4 linked regions of the Astyanax mexicanus genome follow. The protein of the gene in region 1 purifies or fractionates together with the protein of each later gene. This does not show direct contact. Links are inferred from orthologs where the notes say so. Each region holds a gene or a part of one and is shown on either strand. Other genes may lie near its edges. The genes, in order: ubxn7, cul2, ufd1l and klhdc3.

Region 1 (7,090 bases):
CTTCATTATTCTTTATTTTTAGCTAAGGGTAGCGACCCTGCAGAGTGTGATGTTACATTACTCTATAAGGGAAATATTTAAATGCACTCAATCACTCACTCGCACACACACTTACACACACACACATATGCTTTGTGTTAGCACACAACAGAATTAGGGCTGGCCCGAATCGTGTTTAATTTTTTCGTTGTTAAAACCACCCAAAAATCATATTAAGTGTTGGTGACGATGTATTTAGGCCTTTTTACACTAAGTCAGAAATGTTATAGTTGCCAAAGAAATGCACGTCAAAAATTTCACTCAAAAATCATATTAATGATTAATGATATTAATGTATTTAGGCCTTTTTACACTGAGTTAGATTTTTACAGACCTGAAAAATGTGTCAAAATTTAAAATCAGATTTTTACAGACAAAAAAATGTTCATTAAAATTTAAAGTCAAATTTATACCAACAAAAAAATGCATAGCAAAATTTAAAGTCGGATTTAAACAGACAAATGATGTGCGTCAGAATTTAAAGTGTGATTTTTAAAGATCAAAAATGTGCATTAAATTTTACAAAAAAAAAAATGCACATCAAATTTAAAGTCAGATTTTTGCAGGCATAAAATGCATATCAAATGATCAAATGATGTGTGTCAAAACTTAAGGTGTGACTTGACCAACAAAAATGACATAAATGAATTAAAGTCAGATTTTACAGGCAAACACATAAAATTAATAAACGATATCTTGAGAAAGCATACATTTAAATTCCTAGTCAAAAATGTATTAAACCTAAAAATGCATCAGACCTCGATTTGGCGATTTTATATAGATTCAAAACATGACTTTTTATTACAGTTTGGTTTTCATATATGAACTTAGTAGATTCTGAATTTTCTCCTAATTCTCTTAAACTCTTTCAAGAACTATAGGATGAGCCCTATAATAGTAAAGTGGTGTTAAATAAGGGTGCGAATGAACTAAAATAATTAATTTAGTTGTAAATTACAACCGAATATTCGACTGATTGCACGATTTGGGCCAGCCCTAAGCATAAATATGTTGTTTTAGTTTGGTACCAGATCAGAAAAGAGGGTATTATTTTTATTAATTTATTTTTCAGTAACCTCTCTATGAGATTTAAGAGTTTTTGAGCTGGAAAAAGGTGGAAAAGTGTATAAAGCAGGTGTTTTATTAAGGCTGCGCTCACTTTGCATGGCTGAGAATTTAGCTAGATAATTAAAATCACCCGAATAATCGCGTGGTGAGCGTTTTAATCGACGGTTGAATCGTAGCTAGTTAGCTAGCTAGCTAACGCAAAGCTAAAACGCTAAAAACACACACTTTTGTGGTGTTTGAGTGGATTTAACCAGGTTTTTTGGTCGTTTTCTTATTTGTTCAGCTGTTGAGTCTTAATTGAAGGTTGAATGAATCGAACATTTTCTATTTTTTACCTAAATTAAACGATTTGGAAGTTGTTAGCATCGTTAGCTTCTCACACGAATTATCTTTTCCACCTTAAATTCTGCCGAGCTTACATTCTGGCGCCTGCATTTAAGGTGGAACGGATAATTTGTGTGGAAAGCTAACTCCAGCTTGAGTAAAACTAATAATTAGGTCAAAATAATCACTTTAAATCAAATTTAAAAGCTACAATAATTATTTTAAAGATGTTTTAAATCAGGATTAAGCTGTTCTGGTTCGTTAAGACATCTGTATTTAAAAGCCAGATTTTTCTTTAAATTGAAAAAACAAAACAAAAAAACAGAAAACTGTTCTCTATTCATCGATTAAAACGGTTTAAAATCAGTATTATTCATTAATGCGATTTTAACCAAAAGATTACTGAATTTGCGTATTATTTAGATGTTTAAAATGTACAAATTGTAGCTTTTAAAAATATTTAATAGCCAAAAAATGTGAGCGGGTGTTGATAAAGGTCAAAATGGGCATATACATACAAGAACTTTTATTTTGGAAATTGTAAAAAAAATAAAAAATAAAAAAATTAAGCTGGAGGGTCTTTAGCGAATAAGTTAAAAGTCCCCGTTAAATTGATTAAAGGAAATGAGCTGGGTGATGAATGGTTGCGCTGGATCGTTTAACTATAAGAATTAATGCAGTTTTGATCTTTAAAAGAATAGTTTGGGCCTTTTTTTTTTTGCAAATGCTATAATGTAGCCACTAATTTGCGAAATATGGTAATTGTACCAGTGACGTCATGCTAATTGGTGGCTGCTAAGGTGTTACATTAGCATGTTTTGCGCAAAAGCTAGTCCTTAAAATTGTTTTATTTTTTTTTTCAAGGATCTACGTTAATACAACTAAAACATCGCAGGCCGTTCCTTCCTCAAACACACCAGTTGTATTTAAGATCTGTTCGATTAGTGTTTTTTCCAGACTTTTATTATATTATTTTATTTTTTATTGTTTTACAAGTGCTCGGTTTGACTGTTTTGAACTGAATGTATTATAAACAACGGAATAATAAACTTAATTTGAAAAGTGATCATATTTGTTTGCCGTGACTGTCATTTCTAATTTTATAATACTGTATTTAATATATGTAATATTATCCAATATATATATGTAAAACATCCAATCCTATAATCATATAATATGGTGTAACCAATTTATTACACACAGTGCACAGAGCACTACTTTTATATTACTCTGCAGAAGTATAAAATTAACTGCTAAACATGAGTGAGTGAGTAAGGGTTCTTCACAACTTAAAATAGATTACTATAGGTATTAATAGGATGACAGAATTGTTTTAAAAAAAGTCCCTATGATTTTGTAGGAATGTAGAATTCACATTTTAGAGCTTTAATGTTTTAATGTTTTTCTAAATTCATTTTTGACTTGCATGGGTGATTTAATAAACTAAAATGCTGTATAATAAAAGTAGTTTACTGTCTATACTGCTGAACAGTAGTCACAGTATTTACTTTACTAAAAATGGCAAATGTGTAAAGAAAGAGTGAATTACAGCAGGACTTTGGGCCAAAGTCAGAAGATTATTAATTTATTATTTATTAGTACATTTATGTGTTAACATTGTTATTGACAGCACTTATATTTATTTGTCTATTTATTTATTTGTGTTCATAATAATTAAATATATTCTACAGTCAAGTAAGTGTTGGAATTTTAATAATAAGTTGCATTATTTGTAAAAATGTATTACCATAGACTGTAAGCAGACAGAAAAAATAAACAGCAGTGAGTGATTGAGTGAGTGGCGGAAAAACGAAATGTAGTATGTTACTGTGAAGATAGATAGATAGATAGATAGATAGATAGATAGATAGACAGACAGAGAGACAGACAGACAGACATGGTCTTATTTCTCATCTGATATGAGGAAGCAACTTATTTCTGTTTTTTACATGGTATATATTGAATTAAATATAATTTAATATTATATTATTATAATTTAATAATATAATAAATAAGCCAAAGGTCAGATTATTATTATTTTTTATTTGTAAATTTGATTTTATGGATAAAATATTTACCACATTAAAGGTATTTATCAATAATACATAAATATGTATGTTTGGGTTAAATGTTGTTGGTCAGATGATAAATAGGATAAATGGCCTATACATAACTCCAAATGTTATTTGCAGGATTTATCACCGTCCTCTAGTTTGTTACTGTGAAGTGGTGGAGTTGATATACAGCAAATAGCCCTATTTGTTTGAGTAATGTTCGAATCCACATTATGGCAAGAAATACTCAACTTAGCTAAGAAAAAAATACTTTAAGAAAAAATGTCAAATGTCAGTTAATCCGAATTTTACATGAAAGAATTCATGTAAAAATTCAAGAACTTTGAAAGTATCCTCACCATCAAAAAACGATGAAAAGAATGATGAAACTGGCACTCATCAGGACCACCCCAGGAAAGTATGGATCAAGAAGGATCATTTATCAGCCTCAAAAACTACAAGTTAACAGCTTCCTAAAGTAAAAAAAAGCACCTAAACTGCAATTTCTTTACAGTTCTTCACTACATTACCCACAATCCCCCTGCCGTGACGAACGCCACCGTGTCTCAGATAGGGCTTGTGATTGGCCGGCTGCGCGCATGCGCGTGTTTGGGTTGTTGACAGTGAGATGGCGGCGCTCGGAGATGCAGCAGCGCCGGGTCTGAAGGGGTTAATCCAGCAGTTTACCGCGATTACAGGTAAATAACCGGGTTACCGGCCGCCGCGGGGCTCCGGCGCGGGGCAGCGGGGTCCCCGCGGGGCTAGGAGCCGCAGGGCGCGGGGTACGGGCCGCCGAGCCGCCGCTGCGCTCCGGTTCCCTGCAGCAGGCTAATGCTAACATGCTAAGTAGCTTAGCACAGCTAAGCTAACCAGCTAACCCACACAAACACACAGTGCAGAGTACAGTTATTATACATTATATAGTGAATAAACACAGTATTTACAGTATTTTTTACAGATTAATACAGATTAAACTGCAGTACAGCTGAGTCGGAGGGGGTAAAATTAACCCCTGCTTTAATTTAAAGCTGCAGATCTGCAGCCTGAACTGGAGAAAAAAGGAGAAATGCAGTTTATCTGCTGTAAAGTTGGAGATCAGTGATAATCAGAGCCTCTCCGGGCTGCAGTTCAGCCTATTAAAGCTTATTTACCCGCAGAAATCTGTACACAAGCAGTGCTGTTCCTACTTTTAATAAAATAGGTGTTTTTAATAAACAATAAATAGTTTTTGTATGTTTTTAAATGAAGTTACAGCTTTCTTCTCCTTATGGAGAGTATTTTGTAACTGCTAAACATGAGAGAATGAGTGAGAGAGTGAGTAAACTATTTATATTACAGTATAAATATGAAGTACTCTACCTTCTGAACTTCTGAGCTGTAGTGAGACAGTGCACGATGATATCAGAATTATATCGGTATTGGTACTTGCTGACCTGTTTCTTGTATGTTGATTCTATCGTTTTATTTAACCTGATAATTTAATCAGAAATGCAGTTTATCTACTGGAAAGTTAGAGATCAGTCATAATCAGAGCTTCTCCAGGTTTGGTTTTAGTATGTTTTTTAAATTAAGTTACAGCTTTCTTCTCCTTGTGGAGAGTATTTTGTAACTGCTTAACACGAGAGAGTGAGTGAGAGGTGAGTAAACTATTTATATTACAGTATAAATATGAAGTACTTTACCGTCTGAACTTCTGAGCAGTAGCAACACAGTGTTTACTTCGCTAAAATGGAGAAATGCAGGTTTTCTCATTATATCAAAGCAGAATTCCCCAAGTTTCTAATAGAATTTGTGCTTTTTGTACTCTTATAAAAATACAATCTTTGTGTAAATTATTAGTTTTTTTTAATTATAATTTATTAATGAATGCACGATGATATCAGAATTATATCGGTATTGGTACTTGCTGACCTGTTTCTTGTATGTTGATTCTTTCGTTTCATTTAACCTGATAATTTAATAAGAAATGCAGTTTCTCTACTGGAAAGTTGGAGATCAGTCATAATCAGAGCTTCTCCAGGTTTGGTTTTAGTATGGTTTTTAAATGAAATTACAGCTTTCTTCTCTTTGTGGAGAGTATTTTGTAACTGCTAAATATGAGAGAGTGAGTGAGAGGTGAGTAGCCTATATATATATTACAGTATAAATATAAAGTAATCTATCTTCTGAACTTCTGAGCTGTAGCAACGCAGTGTTTTCCTCACTAAAAACAAAAAAATGAAGAAATGTTTTCTCAACACATTAAAGATGTGATGAAATCTATAAAAAATACCTTAAATAAATTATTATATTTTATATTAGTTTTATTATTTTATTTGTTTTATTAATGTTCTGTTTTTTTAATGAATGATGATATCAGAATTAAATCAGTATTGGCCAATAATTGCTTTTTTTTTGTCATTCTTTTTTTTTAATAGCAACTGTGTGTGTGTGTGTGTTACTTCATATTTCAAATTTCAATATAAATGAAAAGTAATCTACCTTCTGAACTCCTGAGCATTAGCGACACAGTGTTTACCTCGCTTAAAACAAAAAAAATGGAAAAATGGGGAAATGCAGTTTTCTCATTCTCATTATACTAAAGTACAGTTACCCACAAAAAATATATAGAATTAGTGTGCTTAATAAAATACTTTTTTTCATCAGTAAAACACCCCCCCCCAAAGGACATAAAGGACCATGGCTGGGTTGCACTAATTTTACACAAGTTCTTTCTTAAATTTTTATCAGTTAACAGCTGTGCTGAACTCATCAAGAGTTAATTACTTGAATTTCTTGTCTCTTAATAAAGTGTTTGAGAGCATCAGTTAAAGGAAAGTAGTGAAGAGGTAGAGTTACAGGTATACAGTGAGTATTTGAGTAATGTTCGAATCCAGGTTATGAGAAGCACTAAACTAAACTACTCAACTAAGTAAAGAAAAAAATGAAAAATAAAGACCAGTCGATCCAAAAAGAAGAATTTCAAGAACTTTTAAAGGTTCAGTCCACCACAAACACCATCAAAAACATTATGATGAAACTGGCACTCATCAGGATTGCCCCAGGAAAGGAAGAGCGAGAGCGTGAGTACTCTGTTGTACAGGATAAGTTAATCAGAGTTACCAGCCAAGTTTACTACATGATTCCTTATGTGTTATGTTGATTATTGGTTATTTTAAGACTCCAGATGGCTAAACTGAGAATTATTAGTATGTAAAACGTTCCCCAGAATTTAAACAAGAATCTGATCAGTGTGTTTTCTGTATTTTTGTGTTTTTCTCTGTGTTCAGGAGCTACAGAGAGCGTGGGGAGGCACATGCTGGAGGCATGTAATAATAACCTGGAGATGGCGGTCACCATGTTTCTGGATGGAGGAGGAATCCCTGAGGAACCCAGCACCAGCACCAGCTCAGCCATCGCCTCGGGCAGCAGACACCAACACACAGCAGAGTGAGATACTGACTGAGAGGAGATATTACTACTGTTATTATTAGTTTTATGATACTGAAATAAGAAGGATGTAACATAAATAAGCCTTAATTATAGGGATGCAACGGTACAGTGTTGCCACGGTTCGGTTCGTATCGCGGTTCTTGAGCCACAGTATCGGTTCGGTTTCGATATAT
Region 2 (7,124 bases), on another chromosome or scaffold:
TTATTTTATATAAATCTATGGCATGATAATCACTAGCAAGGTTTAAAACTGTGTTTTAAAAAAGTGCACACTCCACTTGTCCGTAGTACGCACTTTACTTGCAGTGCTGTGCAGTGCATAGCCTAATAATTTTTTGTTTGTTTGTTTGTTTGTTTTTGCACATAGACTATAAGCTCAATATAAAAATATTTTGTTAAGATTTATTTTCTTATCTTAAAACATGTTAAATTATATTAGATTAGAATAAAGTCACTCAGAATTAATTCTTGTAGCCTAATTTTGGGCCTGACCTAAGCTCTACCAGATTATCCCAAAAGTATTGAATGGAGCTCCCTCAGTACAGAAAACTCCTCTACAGCCCAGTGAGGATGGCTTTAGAACCGAGGCTTAGCACTGGGGCATAGCGACTCTAGGTTCATATAGGTACATATAAAACCAGCGCATCTACACTTATCAAACAATCAATAGATGACAGATTCACTAACTGAATCTGAATTTTACTTTTAAAGAGGCCAATTCATCATGCAGGGTTCTTGCTCTTTGTTAAAAGTCAAATTGAACGCTTTTTAAGACCTTTTTAGGACCTCAGTAAATATGTTATAAATATTATATTATAAATATTTAAGGCCCAAAAATGTAGTTATAACTTCTTAAGTAGAAAATAATTTATTGTGTTAAAAATTAAAATGTAACGTTTCCCATTTATGATCAATTTTCTTCATCAATTTTGTTCCACTGTGATGCAGAACCTGTTAGCATGTTACTAAGCTCTCCGCTAATGTTAGTGCTTTCCCACTGGCATTAAACGCACCATCTAAAAATGTAATACCTACAGTAAATTTACAGAAATGTTAAGACAATTTAAGAACTAAATTATGCATATTTTAAGGACCTGCGGGAACCCTGTCATGAAATTTGTACACACTAGAATTATTAAATGCAAGGGTCAAATAATGTAAAAAATGTAGAAAAGAATATACAAGTAACAGTGTTTCATTTCTATATAGTATATAAATACACACTTGACTAGTGTTTTTTATCAGAAGTGCAGCAATTAAGCCCTTGCAGAAGAATGCAGATACATTTGTGATAAAATAAATAAATTAAAAGAACACTGCATCATTACCATGCTATTAGCAGTGCTCTGTAGGTGACTGCAAAAGAGCAGTAAAACTCAGTAAACTTACTGCAGGACATTTAGGGCAACATATCTCCTCAAAGGGAGTCAAGACATTTAAGTCTAATTTGGGAAGCCTCTACCAGTTCTGAAAAACTTCAGAACCATGACAACTTTACAACTTTCAATGGAAGTCAATGTAAACACTCTTTATTCCAAGTAGGGAAGCCCCATATATTCACCAACCAAAATCATTCAGCTAAAAAGGCAAAAAGGCACTTTCATTGTTTAGCTGGCTCATTTAAAAAGTTTAGTGTTGAATATATATTTTTTTGTTTTCATAAAAAAAAAACAGGACAATGCATTTTAAAATGCTATTTAAAATATATGAGTACTTTTTTGTCAAAAATTTTAAATGGCTGGTCAAAGATATTTTTAGGATTACAGCTATAGTACATGACATATCACATTTTGGTTTTAAGTAACTTATTGACTTATTTAACCTAGTTAGTTAGCTAAATCTAGCTAACTAGTAAACCTGTAACACAAAATAGCTAGTGTAATGGTATAAATATAACTAACCTACACACCTTTAAATGTTTAAAACCACAACATTTTGGGGAAAATTTGAAATTTGCAGATTGTAAAGCCTCACAGTCCTACAGTAAAACTACAGAGCAAACTTTAGAGCACCATCATGTCTTACAGCTAGGGCTAGGCATCTTCAAAAGCATTTCTATCGGTCTGTTTATTAGTGAAACTCGACACAACGTAGAAAACTGTCAGATTAACATTGTCATAAAGTGAAAAATGGTAGATAAAAGATGTTTTTAAGATTACAGCTAAGGTTACAATATATGAAATATCTGTTATCACATTTTGGGCTTAAGTATTGACTTATTTAACCTAGCTAAATAGTTAACTAAATCTAGCTAGGATAACGTTAAGCCAACCAGTAACTTTTAAGCCAATATAACTTGTGCAATAGTATAAGTTAAATATAATTAAGCTAGTTACACACCAAGTATTAAAAGCACAACATTTCAGGGTAAAATTGATTTGAGCAGATTTTGAAGTCTTACAGTCTTACAGTAGAACTACAGAGCAAACTTCAGACCACCACCATGTCTTACAGCTAGGGCTAAGTAAGTAGCCAGCCAGCCAGCAGATTGATGAACTCCATTTGTGGCTATATTAAGGAAGGCTCGTTATACAGTTAGTTAACGCTGGTTATATGAGTTTTCTGTGAAGCTTTATAAGCCGACAGTTGGGTAATTACCCGGATTTACCCGTTGGGATTTAAACCCGTTTACTTATAAAAACACAGTCACGAGCCTAACAGTACGGAGGCCTAGCTAGTTAGCCGGATAGCCGCTTCAGCTAGTCTGACATTTCAGTGATTTCGGTTTTGTTTAGGGAGCTGGAGCTGGAGTTTAGTGGAGGTAAAGACTGAGACAGGCCCAAAACAAGGAAGCTACTCCCCAAGTAAAGTTACTGGACCGTCCTTTTAGTCAGAGCGCTGAAATCCGAACTCTAACCGAACCGAAACAGCAGCTAGTCGGCTAAACCCGAGCGAGCCTCCGATCCAGAGAGGAGCTCCAGCCCGCAGCTCCTCCTCCCGCAGCCCCGACACCCGGCCCCGGCTCGCCCGCGCCCTAAACACGCGGATAAAGGCGCGGTTCTGGGTGTGTAGCTGAGTGTCGGTGGTTACCTCGGGGTTCAGGGTCAGTGCGCTCGGTTTCAGTGAAGTTCCCCCGCTGTCAGAAAGCCCGATTCTCTCTCTCAGACCTGCTCCATCGCAGCAGCAGCAGCAGAGGAGGACAGCACAACTCCATCAGCTGGAGGGATGTCAGACTCCACACACACTGCGGAACTGGGAAAAAGCTGTAAAACACACACCAGGAACCTGTAATAATTTTAAGTTAACTACAAAGCTGATGTACAGAGTGTTAAATATCCCTTCTGTGTAAGAACAGACAGATTTAACAATATTTCGCTATTAAAACTCCCCCATTTCGAGTTGGTTTTGTCCAAAACTACGGAATCCAGCTCAGGACAGTTCACCTTCGCGCACACCGCTCTGCTCCGAGGCCGACCTGAGGTGCATGACGTCAATCATCAAAAAACTGAGAAGAAATGAGCAAATACAGGTGCATCTCAAAAAAATAGAATATTGTTGAAAAGTTACTTTATTTCAGTAATTCAGTTCAAAATGTGTGTTTATTTCTTTATGGTTGATGATTATGGTTTACCCAATTGGTACTTACCCACTTGTGGGCAGTGTGCCAAGTCCTGCTGGAAAATGAAATGTTGTCAGCAGAGGGAAGCATGAAGTGCTGTAGAATTTTCCAGGAAAACACTGCACTGACTTTTGACTTGATATAACACAGTGGACCAACACCAGCAGATTGAGACATGACTTTCCAAATCATCACTGATTGTGGAAACTTCACACTAGACCTCAAGCAGCTTAGACTGTGTGCCTCTCCACTATTCCAGACTTTGCTCCCTTGATTTCCAAATGAAATGCTAAATTTACTGATGATCAGTGATGGTTGGAAGGACTTCACTGTCATACCCACTGTTAATTCCCCCTGAACATTTAAGAACTGTGTGCACTTATTCCCTTTGTCAGCCTTAAGCAATTATACCACTATATTTGCACTACTGTTATACGGGTTCTGTTTATACTTGTACTGTCATTTCCTCTTTAATCTCCCCCTCACGACTATTGCACTATTGTCTTGTGTCTTTTTGCCTCTGTGTCCTTGTTGTATTGTACATATAGAGTCTCCCATTATTTTATATTTATAATCTTATTTTCTGAACTTTCTGTAACTTTTGGGAAGGAGAGTAACGTAATTTCAATTCTTTGTATGTCCTCTACATATGCAGTATTGACAATAAAACTACTTGACTTGATTTGCTTCCCTCTACTGACAATTATGGAAATGCAGATTTTATATTCTAGCAGGGCTTGGCACACTGCCTACACTGCCAAAAGTACCAATTGGTCTTATATAATATTTTAATTTTCTGAGACACTGATTTTTGGATTTTTATTGGCTGTAAGCCATAATCATTATCATCAATAATAAAATATCACTCTGTGTGTACAATTTAATTGGAATGCTCTTATTGAAAATATTCACTGAGGTAAAGGATGATGGAATCCTTTTATATAAGGTGTATAAAACAAAGTAAAAGAAATACACTTAAATATCCCCCATGCAATTCTCTAATAAATATATAATAAGATATAAACAATATTTTACATTTTGAGGTAACTGTGATAAAAACCTGGCTTATCTTTTTTTTATTGTAATACGGTCTTTAACTTTTAGAAAAAATTACCATTTGTTTCTCCTATGCGAATGCAAATATTTCTTTTTTTTTTTTACTTCAAAACACAAGTTGTTACATTGAATTAAAAAAAACAAACAAATCTCTTGAAACTGCTGTTAATTGTTTATTCTTTCGGCACAGAATTAAATGTGCCGAAAAAGTCTAAAGAATATACCCACATTTATTATTTTTGGAATATCAGAATATATAATAATTAGTAGAATATTTCATAAAAAGCCTTAGAATTGTTAAAAAAAAATATATGGTAACATATATGTATGTGTGTGAGAGAGAGAGGTGATCCCCATTGTCTACACTCTATATCTGACAGTTTACAGGCTCTGAAACACACACAGCTCCAGATTAAATGTAATATATTAATAATACACAGAATAAAGGTGTGAATTTCTCTCAGAGCGGAGAGAAACCGAGCACTTCTTCCGCATCATTATGCGTGTCGTCAGCGGATATTACGAACCGACAGACCAAAACAAATGTTGTGGGTTGCCAGGTGTAGATAAACCCCCGAGCTACACTCCAGGTTTTAACACAAATTACATTAGCTTAAAACGCAATTTAAACTTGTTATGTGCATACATACATACACAGTACCAGTAAAACGTTTGACCACCTCTTCTTATTCAATGTTTTTCTCTATATCCACTATTAAAATCTTTAATAATCTTCTTAATCCTTAAGAAAAAGAAAGTATTAGAGAAGAGGGTTTGTAGAGGATCTGGCAGCCCCGGCTCTGACGCTGTGTGGTATACAGCGCTCGGGTTACACGGCGCTTCGCCCGCTCTCAGGTTCACTTCCATTCAGCCCGTCTGATAGTGGAGGTCGCTGAGCTGGGGGTCAGTGGAGCTGCAGAATGGCCTCTGTAGCTGCGGTCCGGGCGGGTTTCAGAGCCGCGGGGAGGGAGCTGAAGAGCCGGGTCAGCGGGCAGCAGCAGCTCGGGCCCTTCCGGAGGATCTCAACTCGTGTAACTAAGAATTTATCTTGATCTTAAACCTCTCTGATCTTACAGCTGTTCACCTGTGATTCTCTTATGATATTACCTGTGATTTGTCTCTTAAATTACCTGTGACACTAACTGATATCATAGCTGTTTACCTGTAATTTGTCTCAGTTATTACCTGTGATACTCCTCTAATATTTCCATTTGATTCTCCTCTGATAGCATAGCTATTCACCTGTGTTACTCCCCTGATATCATACCTGTTTACCTGTGAAACTCCTGATATTAACTGCGATACTCCTCTAAAACCATAGTTGCTTAACTGTGATTTTCCTCTGATATCATAGTTGTTCACCTGTAATACTCCTCTTATATCATATAGCTGTTCACCTGTGTTACCACTTTGATATTAGAGCTGTTTACCTGATAACATAGCTGTTTACCTTTGATACTCCTCTAAACCATATCTGTTTACCTGTGATTTTACACTGATATCATAGCTGTTTACCTGTGATTCTCATCTGATATTATGTCTGATGCTCCTCTGATACTCTGATATTACCTGTGATACTCCTCCTCTATCATAGCTGTTCACCTGTGATACTTATCTGATATCATAGCGGTTCACCTGTGATACTCCTCTGATATCTTAGCGGTTCACCTCTAGTACACCTCTGATATCATAGCTGTTTACCTGTGATTCTCATCTGATATTATGTCTGATGCTCCTCTGATACTCTGATATTACCTGTGATACTCCTCCTCTATCATAGTGGTTCACCTGTGATACTTCTCTATCATAGCTGTTCAACTGTGATACTCCTCTGATATCATAGCTGTTCACCTGTTATACTCCTCTGATATCATAGCTGTTCACCTGTTATACTCCTCTGATATCATAGCTGTTCACCTGTTATACTCCTCTGATATCATAGCTGTTCACCTGTGATACTTATCTGATATCATAGCGGTTCACCTGTGATACTCCTCTGATATCATAGCTGTTCACCTGTGGTACTTCTTCTCTATCATAGCTGTTCACCTGTGATACTTCTCTGATATCATAGCTGTTCACCTGTTATACTCCTCTGATATCATAGCTGTTTACCTGTGATACTCCTCTAAACCATAGCTGTTTACCTGTGATTTTACACTGATATCATAGCTGTTTACCTGTGATACTCCTCTGATATTATAGCTGTTTACCTGTGAGACTCCTATATTACATTTGATACTCCTCTGATATTATAGCTAGTGTTTTACTATGTGAAACAGTAGATTATTCTGAGCATGATCTTTCCAGCTGCAAACTAACTAGTTACAGGACTTGTTACAGAGTAGCTTCAGTGTTTTTCTGCGCACCTATAGTTATAAATGTACAGTGGACCAGTCAGCCCCCAGCAGCAGTGGGTTATATCTGCACTCTGAACTGCACTAGCTAGTAGATTAGTAGATCTAGGGGAAAGAGCACAGAGCCTCTGACAGGAGCATGATTTACCCAACACTGTAAAAAGTTGCTTAAAGTCCATATGCTAAAAGTGCAGGGTAAAACACTTTAAACACTTGCATTGTTGTACACTCTATTCACAGTGGATACGTCTGGTGACATATGTGTGCTGTGCAAAAAAGCTGTGGAAGTTTACTTACAGCACACTGTCCTTCACTCTAACTCATTAAGTCTCTTAGTGACACATACTGAACATC
Region 3 (7,912 bases), on another chromosome or scaffold:
TTTTTAACTAGATTGTCTATATGACGCCCCCCTTGATCCCGAGGTTTCTTCCGCAACTATTAATCAGAAACTATTAGGAGTTGTGGAGTACCACTGGGTTCTATTGTTTGGCATATAAAACTGATGTTATTAATTATAGAACTGTAGTTACAGGGATGAGGAACTGAAGTGTGAGCTGACAAACATGCTCTAATTAGTTACGCACAAACAATTCTAAAGTTACATAAATTACAGATTAAAAACATCAAAGCATAATTTGTTAATATTTTTGAGCATGAAGCAAATTTTCTGATGTTATCTGGCGTACCAACTTGGGACGCTTGCTGAACCCCAGGTGTGAGAACCACTGGATTTGAATAATTATTTTCCTTGTAACATTGAAGCTGCACCATCCTGTAATATTTCTTGAATCGCTCTTGTACACTCTGCTTTTGGAGTTCGTTTTTACACTCCTTTGTGCAAAACAATGTTTCCAATCTTACCCCACCAAGATTCATGACTGCATTTTTCACAATACTGAACAGGATACTCATATTCGAAGGAGATCCTCATACAGTCGATAGAGAGAGAGTTCTCCTCATCCTCATTGCGATGGTTATGACGAGAGACATGCCTCTGCAGAGTAGCAATGTCTGTTACGTACTTCATACTGAAAAAGAGGAAGGTATACACCACCCGTTACATTTTAAGAAAAATATGCCAAATAAACTGTGAAAAGGGGAATACATAAGAATTAAAAAAAAAAAAAAATCCTTACTGGGTGATTTTATCATGAACCCACTGATCAGTTAGACCAATAATACTCCACCTGTCAAATACACAAGAGTCACAATCCCATTTCTATAGAATGAATACTGATGTATTAGTCTTTAGTTGTCCAAACACCTACCAAAGCATATCTTTCGTGTCTTTGGTCATAACCCAGGCCAGCTCAAACATAACCATAGAAGCCTAGAAAAAAGACAAAATAATTAAGGCACTCAAACACTAAGACATAATCCCAATATTTAACAGCCCAATGTTTACCCACATCAACAAAAAACAATCACTGTTTTATAAAGCAAAACATAAAAAAAAATATTTTAATGGTTTTTTTTTTTTAATCCCATTTTTCTCCAGTTTTATTATGCTGATTACCCCACTCACTTAGCTGCACCACCCCAAAACTAGGAGGATAAAGGTACCAACAGCAAGCATGAACCTTTTCGGGCATGTTAACAATTAATTGAACCAATTTGGATGGACAGAGAGAAGCATGTTTTGAAGAAAAAAAAAAAAAGGTACAATGAATTTTATCTATATTGCTAACATCAACATATTAGTAAAATCCTAGTCAAGCCATCATATCATAGATGTGAATACTCACCGAAGTTCCGTGATACTCATACTGCTCGTAGTCAAACAGAATCTCCCGCCTGCAAACACACAGGACCATTAGGAGGTTACAAGCATGTTTGTATAAAAATAGCATTATGAACTGGACTACTTGACCAGTAATAGATATATGGCATTTATTCAGTCAACTCAGCATAACTGACCTGCGAGCTTCCCACTCCCTCTTTGCACGCTGCCTTTCGATTCTCCTCTCCAACGCACCCTGAAATAATAAAGGTAAAACTGAAAATCATTAGAATGGGAAGGAATTACAAATATGGGAACACATTTCTTCAGTGACTGGGTCCAGAAGAAGAAAACCTGCCTCGTCAAACCGCCGCCGTTTACCAGATGGCTCAGACCCGCCATCGCTTTCATTCCCAGAATCCCCTCCATCACCGTCCTCATCCTCATCTTCGTCATCACGGAAAATGTCATCATACGAGGGCACTCCAAGATCATCATCTTGTTTAATCAGCAGCTTAATCTAAAGCAACAATACATTTTAATGACATAATTTAAGATCCATAAAACACAGATTAGAAAAAGCAATTTAATAAAATTCTATTAAAACAAACAAAAGAAGGAGCACCTGGGTGTCATTGTAAACATTGACAACATCAACAGGCCTGTGGGTATCACAAATGAAGAAGACAGAGTCCTCTTCAGGCTGTAAAGTCTCAAGCAGGTCCACGTTTGCCCCGCAGTTAATTAGGACAAAATACTGGTACTGTAAAGAGAGAGAAAACATTTAAAACAACATACAGTACCCTTAATGTTAATGACTATTTAAAGATGTTCACAATGTTGACTGACATTTTGACATGCATCAGTAACTACATGAGAAAAACAAAACAATACAAACAAATAATCATATACTGTCAGATACTAAGTAAAGGGTCTGTGAAATTGTGAATGTCCTTCTAGAATGACCAAAGTGATCTACCTATCTAGGCCTGTCAAAATTTCTATTGCGATAAACAATGCTAAAAATTGTAATTTTAAGACTATTTAATTGTCACTAAAATAATGATAACAGAATAACAAACCAAGTATACTCTTATTACTCCACAAACTTATTACTACAAATTTAAACATTTCTTATTTATAATCTAATTTAACAAATTTATGCTGCAAATTTTATTTTATTTATATAATGTTTACTTAAAATTATAATCAAATTTATTATAAATCTCTCCTTATGTTCAAATAAAGTGATTTTGAATTGAATGTACATTTATTGTAAAATAAGTTGATAATGTAATTATCGTGAGAGGCCTGTATCTACCTTATCTATCGATCTATGCTTAGAAAAATGTATTGTGTAGCTAGTTTTTTGTTTTGTTTTCTTAATACAATAGAATAGTCATGTGACATAGGTAAGTTATGTTTTCTCTACGTAGAACATGTGTACACCTAGCTAACGTTAGCTAACAATAACTAACACTGTTAAGTTACCTGTTCCTTATGTTCCAGGAAAGCAGTGCCAAGGTCCTGCCAGCCTGTCACAGGAACAAGAGTGTACTGGACATGATCACAGTGAAACAAGGCCTAGAAAAAAACGATAGGGTTAAAATGAGATAAATTGACTTTAACTGTTTAACTACCTTTAACTACCTCGGATCTACACAAGGAATTTATCCCGACTAGTGAACCTGGTTATTTAGGCTTGTTACTTATGAGCTGAAAGACACTAACCTGCAGTATTTTACAGGCACACAGCGCGTCAATATCCGCGGACACAAGCAGGGCCACTCGCTTAAACACAAAAACATATTAAAAATTAGACATTAATGTACCTAAATACACATATAAACTAACTCACACACCACAGAATTCAGCGAGTCAACGTCAAAAAAGGGTAGATAGTTAGCTAGGTAAGGTACAATCACGGTCGCCCGGCTAACACTGCATAGCTAGTTTAACTAGCCACCGGGTTAAACTCGACTAAACTCTTTTATAACACGTTAAAACGAGAAACGCCTCACCTGATTAACCACAACATCATAAAACTCTTTCCTAATATCGGTAACAAACATCCTAAAATCTCAAAAACACATAAAAATCCCCTCAGTCCCGCTGCAGGCTCGGTAAATCAGCTTGTTTTGCTAATTCTCGCGACTTTCCGTCCAGAAACTCTGGCGCCAAATTCGTTCATACAAGAGGAGGCGGGCTTTGTCGCAGTGTCCAATCAGGTGACAGCTGTTACATCTTGTCAAATCTGCAAGCCCTAACCAATCAGATTCACTCCCTGAGTTAAAGGAGGCGGGTCGCACAGATTGTCAAACCAATCACTAAACTGCTCGTATTTAATGGCTCAAGGTGACATTTTGTACTCGATTTTATTTTATTTTATTTTTTTACGCAGCATCGTTGAAACAGATACAGATATTTGTTACGACAAATATAATGAGTGATGTTTTATGCTTTTGTTTAATTTATTTACAATATTGCATACATATTTGTTAACGCAGTGTTAGTCAGTGTCAGTGTTAGTTTAAAGAGAGCCAGTATGTAGAGAGCCTGGCCACTTCTTATCGCCCTATTTTAATCTGATTATTGGTACGAACCGCTAGAGGGAGCCAGCGAACGAGACCTCAATGGACGTAGAAAAATATAGCTAAACGGCTAAAAACTCAAATTACGTATAGTAATTAACTACCTTTCCAATATGTTTCCGTTCATTTTAAAAAGTAAAATAAAGTATTGTTTTACAGAAAATTGGATTTAAGCAGTAAAGGCCCTAGCATTGCTGCTACTGAGTGCTGACTGGTGAGTTGCTGAGATGATGCTGAAGTATCAGGCAGAGCAGGTTTAAAGGCTTATAACTGGATTTTAAAGCTTTAAAAGTATATATATATATATATATATATATATATATATATATATATATATATATATATATATATATATATTTATATATATATATACTTTTAAAGCTTTATATATTTTATATGTTTGCTTAAAGCACGTGTTCACATACCATATATATCCAATAAAAATAAACGAAAGTAAATAAACAAACAGCAACAAAAAATATGGGATTCTAATAAAACTTAAATATGCTTAAATATCGTTTATCGTTTTAACTTTAATGTCTTTGCTGTGAATTTTACTTATTAAATCTGATGATCATTTTAGGGAAATTATCAGCACAATTTAAAATTATTTGGTAAAGGTAATCAATTTTAAGTGTATTTCTTGTTGAATTTATTTTATTTATGGAGTCTCTGTTCTATGAACATGAATGTATATGAAGTATATGAAGTTATGAGCTATGAAGTTATGAAGTTATTAGTTAAATTTGTTAGTTGATTAATTAGATGTGATGTTAAGATAAATGTTTTGCTCAGTTTATTGGTTTTATGGTTGTTTGTTTTATTTTGTATTTCCAATTTGTGTATAATATATAAATAGTATATAAAATGTATAAAATATAAATAATAAATATAAAATGAGCTTCTGTTTGGAGTAATTTGATGACGGCATGGCGTTGCAGTGATCTGATTGGGCGGAGGTGTTTTGTTGTGGGGAGGCGTCACATCCTGTATACTCAGCGTTTCCCTGGGAAGAGGATAGTAGTGTGTTTTTGTACAGTAGCGTTAGTCTGATTTCTGCAGTATTTCTGAGAGAAGTAAAGCGTATTCAGACAACATGGTGGGTGTTGGAAGCTTTGCCACGTTTGTAGCTGATGAATGCGGGTGGTGTGCTGGTTTAAATAGTTAGTTGTGTGTGTTAAAGAGCCGGTAAATCTACGCTAGGCTAGCGACTAAAGCTGCACTGTCACTGTCAGCCCTTTTGTTTTTGTGTTCTCAGTTGAAGCTGCTCTGTAGTTTTACTGGGTTTGGTGAAACCGGGTGTTCAGTATTTTAGTTTCAGGGTGTAGTTGAAGATATGAGGTTCCGTAGCTGTTAGTTGTTGTGTGTAATATTATAGGGGTGAATGTAATCTAGCGAGGTTAGTCGGTAAGGCCTGAGATCAGCCCATCATTTCGCTAATCTGCTTTATATTGTTTTTACGTTTTCAGTTTTCCTTCAACATGTTTGATCACCCGATGCCTCGGGCCTTCCAGAACCGCTTCTCCACACAGTACCGCTGCTACTCGGTGTCGATGCTGGCGGGACCCAATGACCGCTCAGACGTGGAAAAAGGAGGAAAAAGTATTACATTTACAGTGTTTTTGTGTGATGATTCTTTAAGACATGATACTATATTCTGTGTCTTATTGTAGCGAATGTTTCAAAAGAATTCACATTCATTACTCAAGTAGAAATATAGATACTAGGGTTTAAATACTTCTGTAGAAGTTAATTAGTATCTCCAGCTGGCAAACAACCGACCTTCAACGGTAAAATGTGGCTGAAATATGGTTGAAGTAACGTCTGTTTTAACATTTAATGTTAAGTGGTTGTGAAAACGTTAAAATTTACACGTCGAATCAACATAATGTCCTTAACCTTCTGCCTTTTGAATTAGCATTTTACATTTCATCACTATATAAAAAAAAAGGATGGAAGGATGAAAAAGTGGTTTTGCTTCCATTTGCAGTAATTGCTTTTTAATTTGGCATCAATTCTTCGCCATACCTGGGGAAATGAGTATGTTCTATTAGTCTTACTGTTGTGTTTTTGAGATTAGACGTTTAATCTGATTGATAGTGGTGGGTAACATCCTTTTTACTCAGCTTTAGTGCAGTGATGTAAGTTTATAGTTCACTATAAACTATAGTTAACCATAGAATTTTCTAGTTTTTATGAGCTATGGTTTATGAAAGGTTGAATGTACACGCCATATCAACGTTGATTCACTTTTCAAAATCAACACCAAATCCAAGGTTGATTCAACCATAACATTAATGTTGATTCAATGTTGAAATGCCAGCTGGGATCAACTCAAGCTTTTTACTAAAAGTAAACGTGTAAAAAGAACTGAATTCAAAACTACTTAAAAGTATGAAAATAAAAGTAACATAAGGGGGAAAATGCATTAAGGACAAAAGCTTAGGCTGTGCCAACAGGGGCTTATAGTGCAGAACCCCATGTGGGTATGTCTTAGAATAGAGCTCCAAATAATGTGTTCCTGTATATCTTTATTTCCTTCACAATTACATGGTACAGTAATCTGTTGTGTTTGTGCACTTTTGGAGACACAGAGAACTGTGAATGGGCCCATTATCCTTCTCACATTGTGTGTCTGTCCCCAGCACTTTGTGTATTGTGGTGGCACTGCAGATATTTGGAGTTTTGAAATGACATTATGGAACCTGTACGTTTTGTCCATGGGTTCCATGTTGGCCTCACATATTAATGTTAGTGATGGGGCAAGGAGGGTCTAAACATGAGCTCCACCTGGGTTGTACACTGCACATGGGGCCTACTCATGTGATATTAATGAATCTAATCATGATTGATAACAACAAGAATAACATTTATTATATGGTATTTTTATATATCAGTTGACACAGTATAGGCATAGGTGTGTGTGTGTGTGTGTTTTATGTATATCCAGCGTAGGCTTAGATGGGCTACTGTCTCTTGATTGTACTCCTCTTGAGTGTGTAATACTCTCTTCCTTCTCTTGCCAGTTATAATGCCCCCATCAGCACTGGACCAGCTTAGTAAGTTCATAAGTTAATACTGTTTTCTAATACGAGACCACTGTACCACTGTAGTTGTATGAAATGATATGATGTACTGAATAAAACCTTCCTTATCCTTAAACAGGCAGACTTAACATCACATACCCCATGCTGTTCAAACTCACCAATAAGAACTCAGACAGAATGACCCATTGTGGTGTCCTGGAGTTTGTTGCTGATGAAGGGATCTGCTACCTTCCCCACTGGGTAATAAACTAAAACAAACACTTATTATTCTTGACATTATAGCCGAAGAGTGTAGTATTTTGTAGGTGCGTAAACTACTGTGTGTTGTTTTTCTTCTGATCCGTGAACTTAATATTGTCTTTGTCCCACAGATGATGCAGAACCTGTTATTGGAAGAAGGAGGTTTGGTCCAGGTTGAGAGTGTCAATCTCATGGTGGCAACTTACTCCAAATTTCAGCCTCAGAGTCCAGACTTCTTGGACATCACAAACCCTAAAGCTGTGTAAGTAATCCAGTGTAACAACATACTGCACTCAATAGCTAAGCTGTAAAGGAAATTAAAGGGGCACCAACAAAGCATGTAGAGTCTCTGTCGCTACATCTTTCTTAAACATGACCGCATATCTTTTTACTGCAGTAATATTGTGGAGAATGAAAAGGAAGCCTTTTTTGTTTGAAGACCCTGATGAAAACCCACTTTTTATTATGTATCCTGAAAGTGTGAGGACCCATTACAAGCATATTAAAGCAGATAATCAAGGGCAGGCTTTGTGAAATGTGCCCCACTCAGCTATCCAGTACTTTAGCAGATAGCTAACATTTACTACTGGGATACTGAATATCACTTCTGTATACAGCTCTGGAAAAAATAAGAGACCACTTAAAAATGATGAGTTTCCTTAATTTTACCAAATTGAAAATCTATTGAATATA
Region 4 (7,379 bases), on another chromosome or scaffold:
TTTTTCATTACAATAAAAAAGCTGACAGATGTTTATCCACTTAATTACAATTGATAATTGATGTTTAGTATTGCTCCTGTTTACCAGTTATTCAAATGTTAAAAAAAACGATTTTCATGGAGTGTAGATGTAAAATGTATTGTGTCTCAAATTAACAGTTTAATTATGATGTGAGCTATTTGTACATGTAGAAGAATCGTATATTATATATAACAAACATATATTGGAAAGCACAATATATATAAGTATTCACAGATATAGTCTGTAGTTTATGTAATATAATAATAATGGATCTAAATATACATTATATTTTATATATAAAACTCTATGTTTATAATCTGTATATTTGCAGTGAATTAACAATATGGAAATACAGTACCAGACTGTAAATTTAATATTAAATATATTAAAGCTATACAGGAACACATGCAGAATTATTTTGTAAACAAAAAGTTTTTAACAAACCAGAATATGTTTTCTACTTTAGATTCTTCTAAGTGGCACATTTATCTTTGAGGACAGATCTGCACACTCTTGGTACTTTAATCTCAGTGTCTTCATGAGGGAGAGTCACCTTGAATAGTTTTATCAGCGTTTGAAGGAGTTTCTGGAGGTGCTGAACAATAGTTGCTGCTTTTCCTTCACACTGTGAAGCACCAGCTCATCCCAAATCACCTCAAATCACCATCTCAGTTCATCAGGTTTATATCAGGGGATTGTGGAGGACAAAAACATATTTTGTTTACTATGTATCCTGTTATTGTTTTTATGTTTTTACTAATAATACATAATAATCTACAATATACAAAAATGATTAAATAACAAAACAGAGAAAAACATTTCTTGAGAAGGTGTGTCCACACTTTTGACTGTTACTGTATATATATAAAATATACTGCATTATAAACATGTTGCATTAGAAGCAGTGAGAGTCAGATCTTATTTATTAATTAATTTGTTTATGGATTTGTTTATGGACAGTACTGTATATCTTTCAGATATACAGACTGCCTCAGTAAGCATGTGTATCTGTAGGAAGGTACTGATCATTAATCAGTAAAGCGTCACACCGGGGGAGAAGGTGTGAGTTCACTGTGAAGCTTCTTCATCAACTCAACAAAAGACTAAACTAACATTAGAGACGCTCCTAATGGCCTTCAGGAGAAAGAGATTCTGATCTTCAGCTCATCAGCAGAGGAGAAAGAGCATCTGCCTTCTGATTAACAGCCCTGTTACAGAGCTTAATCCTCTCCAGCAACACACAGCACTGGGGTGTGCCATATCAAATTGTAATTTTTGGACACAAAATAAAAAAAAACTCCATATTGTAATATTGTGACATTATTGAAAGCCTTAGTTTTGATTAGTTATTATTGATATTTACTGTATTTACTGTGCTTGCTTGTGGTTTATATGCATGTAATAAACATGCTGCACTTTAGATTTGGGGTAGATTTTTGCAGTTAAATTATTGTGCAGCGTATTGTTATTGCATTTTTTATTGTGTTTTTATATTCAGGGTAAGTCAGGGTAAGTTTGCAAAACTGTTTACAAAATGGATAAATGCTTGTAGATTTGTTTATACTGAATATATAAAACATACGTATATTAATAAAACATATTGTTTTTGCAGTAGTATATTATTAAAATAATGTAAAACAAAAATCAATGTTGTGTCATATTCCTGAGAACATTGTTACCTCAAAAATGCCCAATAACAATAATAAAAAAAAACAATAATAATACAATAACAATGAAACTTTATAAAAGCATTTTAACTCCTTTAAAACCTAAAAAAGCTCCTTTTACAGTTTCGCCAGAGCTACTTCATTAGGATTGTATGAGTGACTAGAATAACAGTGCTATCAGAGACAGTTTTTGATAGTATGGGTGTGTCTGAAATGTATGAAATGCTCCCTTCTCAGGGAGGATTCTGAGAAAGAAAGGCACCCAGTCATGCCTGAATCAAAGTTTATTTATCTAGCCTTCTGTTTTATTGGGTAATTTTAATAACAGCTAAGGACAACACAGCTAAACTGTGATAATCAGGCAGTGAATCAAATTCTTGCAGATTAAAAAAAAAACATTTATAAGTTTATTAGAAAATTGCAGATAAAATGCTGATAAAATCATAGTAAAAAACATAAAAATGAAGCATTCAAAAAGAGTTACCAAGAAACAGGCAAGGGTCCAAACCAGGAAGTTTAAAATTAGCATGGCAAAAAACATTTATGTCTGTAATGTTGGCTTACAGTGGCTTAAAATTGTGGCTTACAGTATCTCAGACAATTAGAATATTATATAAGGCTTTAAAGAGCTCTCTCAGTCAAGTCCTTGACAGCATGTTGTGATTCTTCCCAGGACAGGTTTTTTTTATTAACCTGGATATTTTACAGCAGTTCAAGCTTCCCTCTGCTGACAAGGTTTATGCAGTCGCAGGTTAAGGGCGGCCAACGGGGGCCAGTGCCCCTCCAACAACACACTTGGACCCACCCTATTGCCCCCCTAAATTAGGTGTAAATCTCCTCATTTCTGCAAACACGCCACAACAAAGCAGCACACTAATGTAAATACTAATTTTCCAATCTTACTCTTTAGCCAATTTATACTTCTGCATCAAACCTACACCAAAGCCTATGTGTACCCTATGCCATAGCCTGGTGCTCACCTCCCCAGAAATGTAAATACATATTAAACAACCCAGCAGAAGCCCACACCTTCCCGTCTGTGCGTTTTATACTGAGGAGCGACGCAGAGTCATGGACACATGAACACAGAAATATAAATGTGGGTTGCATAGTGTGCTAGTGCAGGCTACGACTTATGCAATGTGTTGACTCACCACAGTATAAGTATAAACCAGTCTTTAGAAACTTTACCGGGTTTCCCTTGTGCAGCACACAGTGTTTCAATTGATTCTTTTGAATATGAAAACTTGAATATGAAAATGCAAATTACCTGTTTCACTCCCGGGTAGTGCTGCAGTTTTTGCACTAAAGCTTGGGTCCTCTATGACAGACTAAGACTAAGTACTCTGAATGTACTTTTCAGTTAAGGACAGCAAAGGCCCTAAAACTGTGAAAATATGGAAACTGAAAACTGTATAAATAAAATGTTGAACGATATTGGATACATTCTTTTTCTTCGTTATGCCTTCAAAGCACTATAGGCTAGAAAGAAATCGGCCCTTCTAACATAATCACTGGCCCTGGACTAACCCCCCACCCCATTTAAAATGGTCTAGAATTGACACTATTTTCTAAGATGCTGACTTTTGGGTTTTCATTAGCTGTAGGCTGTAATCATCAATACTAAAATAAAAGCCACACAAAATAAATCACTCTGTATGTAATAATCTATTTAAAGTTCTTCTTCTGCTAAAATCCACTTTTTCTTGTTCTTTGTAAAATATAGGTCTCTATGAGTTGTATATGCATGCTGCATATGAAACTATTCTTCAACTGCAGTATTCTTCTGTCTGCAGTAGCTAGTAAAAGAAAATGTTTAGATAAACGAGTCGATCATGTAAAGCAATGTGTCTACATCAACTCAAGAGTTCATGGCCTTGGTGGGTCTGAAGAGATGAGAGTGAACACCTAGTATCTCTGCTGCAGATCTATTAGCCAATCAGAGGCGATATGTGTTTGCATGTATGAATATTTATGAGCAATATCCAAAATTCTGTCTGACTTTAGAGACCAATAATTCAGTGAAATAAAGCAGGGCGATACAGAAACACTGGAGCACTTTTTTCACAACAAACGGCTCACATGGCATTCATTCATATTAGGTACCACTTTAAAATAAGACTACCTTTATAAAGGGTTTATAAATGGTTTACAATTAGTTTATTAATGGTTACTTATTAGGTTTTAAATGCCTTAAAAATCATTAATGATCAGTTCACATGATCAGTTCATGATCAACACAAAATTAGAAAGGACAACGATATAGATGGCTGTGGGTTCACTATTTGACAAACAACAGGTCATTGTTGCCCTTTCTAATTATGTGTTATAACTGATTATTAATGATTTTTAAAGCATTTACAACCTAATTAGTAACCATTAATAAACTAACTGTAAACCATTTATAAACCCTTTATAAAGGTAGTCTTATTTTAAAGTGGTACCGAAACCACAACTAGACATTTTAATTATTTATAATTTAATTATTGAAAAAACGATGGAATGAGACCTTTAATATATAGAGTTTCACTTTTATACTGATTGTACGAAATAAATGAACTTTTGTGATTTTTCTACGTTTTTTTGAAGATGCACTTGTTGTCCTTCATATTCCCTATGCCCTATTCCCTAATCCCTACACCCTAGCTGCTATTTTCTAGTGTCCCTAGTCCCTGTATGACCCCTGACCCGCTGGGGGGCGCTTTAGCGCAGCTGCTGCTGGACTCTGCTCCGGTTTTCTGCTCGGGTAGAAGCACATAATGAAGGTAAATGTAAATGTCACCTTTTTATCGAGGAAGATTAAGCTGTAGTTTACATCGTTACAGCGGGAAGTCCTCGGGAAAGCGGCTAATTCGGGTTTTATTCGCTGTGAGATCAGGAATCTGGCCGAGAAATATAGGCTAAGCTATGCTAAGGCAGGAGCTGGAGTGTCAGACAGGCAGGAATACTTCTCTTTAAACTGAGTTAAATCTCAGATAATTCACTAGAGAAGCTGATATTGATAAGAATATTAATCACAGACACTGGGAGTGTGTGTTCAGGCAGTGGGCTGGGCTGTGGGGGGGTTTGAGCAGGAGTATTTGGGGTTGTTTACTATTTAGCCTGTTGATGCTAACGTAGCTAACTAGCTAACCATGGCTAATGTTGGTTTATAGCTATGCGTTTGGAGGCGTTTGTTTCACTGATGTTTTGCTGGTCTGGAGAAAACTGAGGAATTTCTCGCGCTGGCGAGGAGATAGGCTAGTTAAAGTCAGTAACTGACTCAGTTTGAAGCTCTGAGAACATCTAGTTAACGTTAGCTTACTTCAGGTCTGTTTAAGCTAACGCCTAGCTTGGTTAGCATGGCTAAATCAGACAAAATCAGAGGGCAGAGTTCAGCTTTAACATCAGCAAATTCATTCGCCTCTACCTCAGATGGTGCAGAATTTAAGCTGAAATGGCATATGAACCTTCTGTCTAACAGAAGACTAACTGAATTAATATGCAAGTCCACATGAAATCTTTTCCTTCACCATTTAAGGTGGAACTGAAGGTTCTAAGTGTGAGCTGGTTCTCTGAGCTGATAAGGTGAGGAGCTGAATGCTCCAATAGAGTCCAGCAGAGTTTGTGATTTTCCTATTCAAACCAGACATGTATAATCTAAAGTACTAGAGACCCATTTTACCTTGAGTGAATGTACAAGTGCTGTATCAAAAAAGTTGAAGAAAAAAAAAACTTGAGTAGAAGTTGAAATGTTCTTTAAGCTCTACATTTAAGTGAAAGTACTAAAGTATTCAACATTTTTTAAGTATTGCAAGTAGTTTATTGTCAAATGTAGTACTGAAATACTGCATATAAAAGTACAGTACTGTGTTATTAGTGTAGTTATTACAGAAAGCAGTGGAAAGTTCTCAGAGTAAAAGGCAGAACAGGACCTTCGTGGTCTTCTTATAAGATCAGCTTGATCGCTTGATTCACTCAATAATGAGGAGCTATTATAATACAGCATTTTAGTACTTAAGTAAAGTTGTGAAGTAGTTTTTATTCTTTGTTACTATACATCTCTGCCTCAAACACAACATCTAAACCTGGTCACTATCAGCTGATTTGTTAAATCAGGTCTGTTTAAGCAGGAGTAATTGAGAATCACCAAATTTCACAGATTAGAATCTCCAGGGCTGAGGTTCTTCACCCTGCAATACATGCATGACCAGGGCCCAGTTTCCCAAAAGCATCTTATCAATAAGAACATCTTAATCTAAATCAACCCATAGTGACGTGTGTGTGTGTGTGTTTGTGTCGCAGACCCTTTAAAAGCTGTGTACATTTTTTACTTTAACTCATACAGTCCTTAAAGGGATAGTTCGGTATTTTTGACATGAGTCTTTATGGCATCATCATAACCAGTGTCGTGCATCCACACTGACTTACCCCCCACAGCGTCCTGTGAGCCGAGTTCTTGTCCAGTTTAGGTCAAAGCGAAAGTAGTCCGGCATGTTTGCTGGGGTCAGGAAAATAACTCCTTTTTCTTCCCAAAGCAGTACGTGTTCAAAAGAGTGATTTATTTATATCACAAAAAACTAACCATGCAAAAGTCACGCCTCGTAAATCACTTGGGTCCTACTTTCTCTCATTTCGTATCAGTGCGCGTCATTCTGACAGCGAGCTGCGCACGCGTCAACTTGTTTGTGATGCAAGCAGCTGCCCCGCTGACATCCTCATCAATGGATAGGTCTTGCATCTCGGGCATAACTAAGTCCCACTCGTGGCAACAGTAGCATTCCACTTCGGTCTGCATTATTTCGCACTTGAAACAAGTGCACCAGGATTTGTCGGCCACCCTGGGTATCGCAGCTCCAGCAGTGGCTCCAGTTTCATCTTCCACCACTTCTCTGTCCACCCTCTCTCTTTCTGCCCGATCTAATTCCATTTGGCGAAGTTCAACATCTGTATACTCGGGTTCATAAAGATATCCCCGTGGCTCTGAGCGGTGATCAATGTTTTCCTCGTCACTCTCGTAGTCAGACATGTTCTCGAGGCGAGAAGTAAACAAAGCGACCCAAACACGTAGGCTAGCTGTCAGGTTGCAGCGCTGCGCGCATTGATATGGAACGAGAGAAAGTAGGACCCAAGTGATTTACGAGGCGTGACTTTTGCAGGGTTAGTTTTTTGTGATGTAAATAAATCACTCTTTTGAACACGTACTGCTTTGGGAAGAAAAAGGAGTTATTTTCCTGACCCCAGCAAACATGCCGGACTACTTTCGCTTTGACCTAAACTGGACAAGAACTCGGCTCACAGGACGCTGTGGGGGGTAAGTCAGTGTGGATGCACGACACTGGTTATGATGATGCCATACAGACTCATGTCAAAAATACCGAACTATCCCTTTAAGTGACATATACTGGACATCACGAGAGCATTACTACAGAACAGTGTGTAAATGTGTGGTCACGTGACCATAATCTTTGCTTCTGCAGCTCTGTTCTATTAGGTTCCATCCATTTTAGTAATTCAAATGCTTTAACTAAATGTTTTACATTCTACAAAACTAATTTTGACAGATTCTAAAGCAAAATTGTTAAAATACAAGTTTGTTGTATCATTTACATTATGAGAAATTAATTTTTTAAATATTTGAAAATATTTTGCCTATGATAAGAAGCATGTTTTATCTTATGTTTTAACATGGAGAGAGAAAAGAGAAAAGAG

The links.
Region 2: the proteins of ubxn7 (region 1) and cul2 purify together in Homo sapiens (affinity purification with mass spectrometry; 6 studies listed by BioGRID and IntAct, with this or other methods). This does not show direct contact. The link is inferred for Astyanax mexicanus from reciprocal best matches to the Homo sapiens genes UBXN7 and CUL2.
Region 3: the proteins of ubxn7 (region 1) and ufd1l purify together in Homo sapiens (affinity purification with mass spectrometry; 3 studies listed by BioGRID and IntAct, with this or other methods). This does not show direct contact. The link is inferred for Astyanax mexicanus from reciprocal best matches to the Homo sapiens genes UBXN7 and UFD1.
Region 4: the proteins of ubxn7 (region 1) and klhdc3 purify together in Homo sapiens (affinity purification with mass spectrometry; 3 studies listed by BioGRID and IntAct, with this or other methods). This does not show direct contact. The link is inferred for Astyanax mexicanus from reciprocal best matches to the Homo sapiens genes UBXN7 and KLHDC3.

The regions. Positions count from the first base shown.
Region 1 is NC_064411.1:57,533,935-57,541,024, reverse strand, and holds the start of ubxn7 (UBX domain-containing protein 7), read left to right. Parts: upstream 1-4,076; 5' UTR 4,077-4,113; coding exon 4,114-4,183; intron 4,184-6,754; coding exon 6,755-6,914; intron 6,915-7,090. UniProt on the Homo sapiens protein: Ubiquitin-binding adapter that links a subset of NEDD8-associated cullin ring ligases (CRLs) to the segregase VCP/p97, to regulate turnover of their ubiquitination substrates.
Region 2 is NC_064413.1:45,837,247-45,844,370, forward strand, and holds the start of cul2 (cullin-2), read right to left. Parts: upstream 3,026-7,124; 5' UTR 2,829-3,025; intron 2,353-2,828; exon of another isoform or gene 2,200-2,352; intron 1-2,199. Other genes in the region: rmdn1 (regulator of microtubule dynamics protein 1), read left to right, coding at 5,334-5,444.
Region 3 is NC_064419.1:34,876,308-34,884,219, forward strand, and holds the start of ufd1l (ubiquitin recognition factor in ER-associated degradation protein 1), read left to right. Parts: upstream 1-4,912; 5' UTR 4,913-5,028; coding exon 5,029-5,031; intron 5,032-5,401; coding exon 5,402-5,534; intron 5,535-6,958; coding exon 6,959-6,991; intron 6,992-7,097; coding exon 7,098-7,219; intron 7,220-7,350; coding exon 7,351-7,481; intron 7,482-7,912. Other genes in the region: cdc45 (cell division control protein 45 homolog), read right to left, coding at 530-649, 758-808, 890-951, 1,367-1,415, 1,539-1,597, 1,700-1,861, 1,967-2,104, 2,833-2,925 and 2 more. UniProt on the Homo sapiens protein: Essential component of the ubiquitin-dependent proteolytic pathway which degrades ubiquitin fusion proteins.
Region 4 is NC_064414.1:11,024,616-11,031,994, forward strand, and holds the start of klhdc3 (kelch domain-containing protein 3), read left to right. Parts: upstream 1-4,365; 5' UTR 4,366-4,453; intron 4,454-7,379. UniProt on the Homo sapiens protein: Substrate-recognition component of a Cul2-RING (CRL2) E3 ubiquitin-protein ligase complex of the DesCEND (destruction via C-end degrons) pathway, which recognizes a C-degron located at the extreme C terminus of target proteins, leading to their ubiquitination and degradation.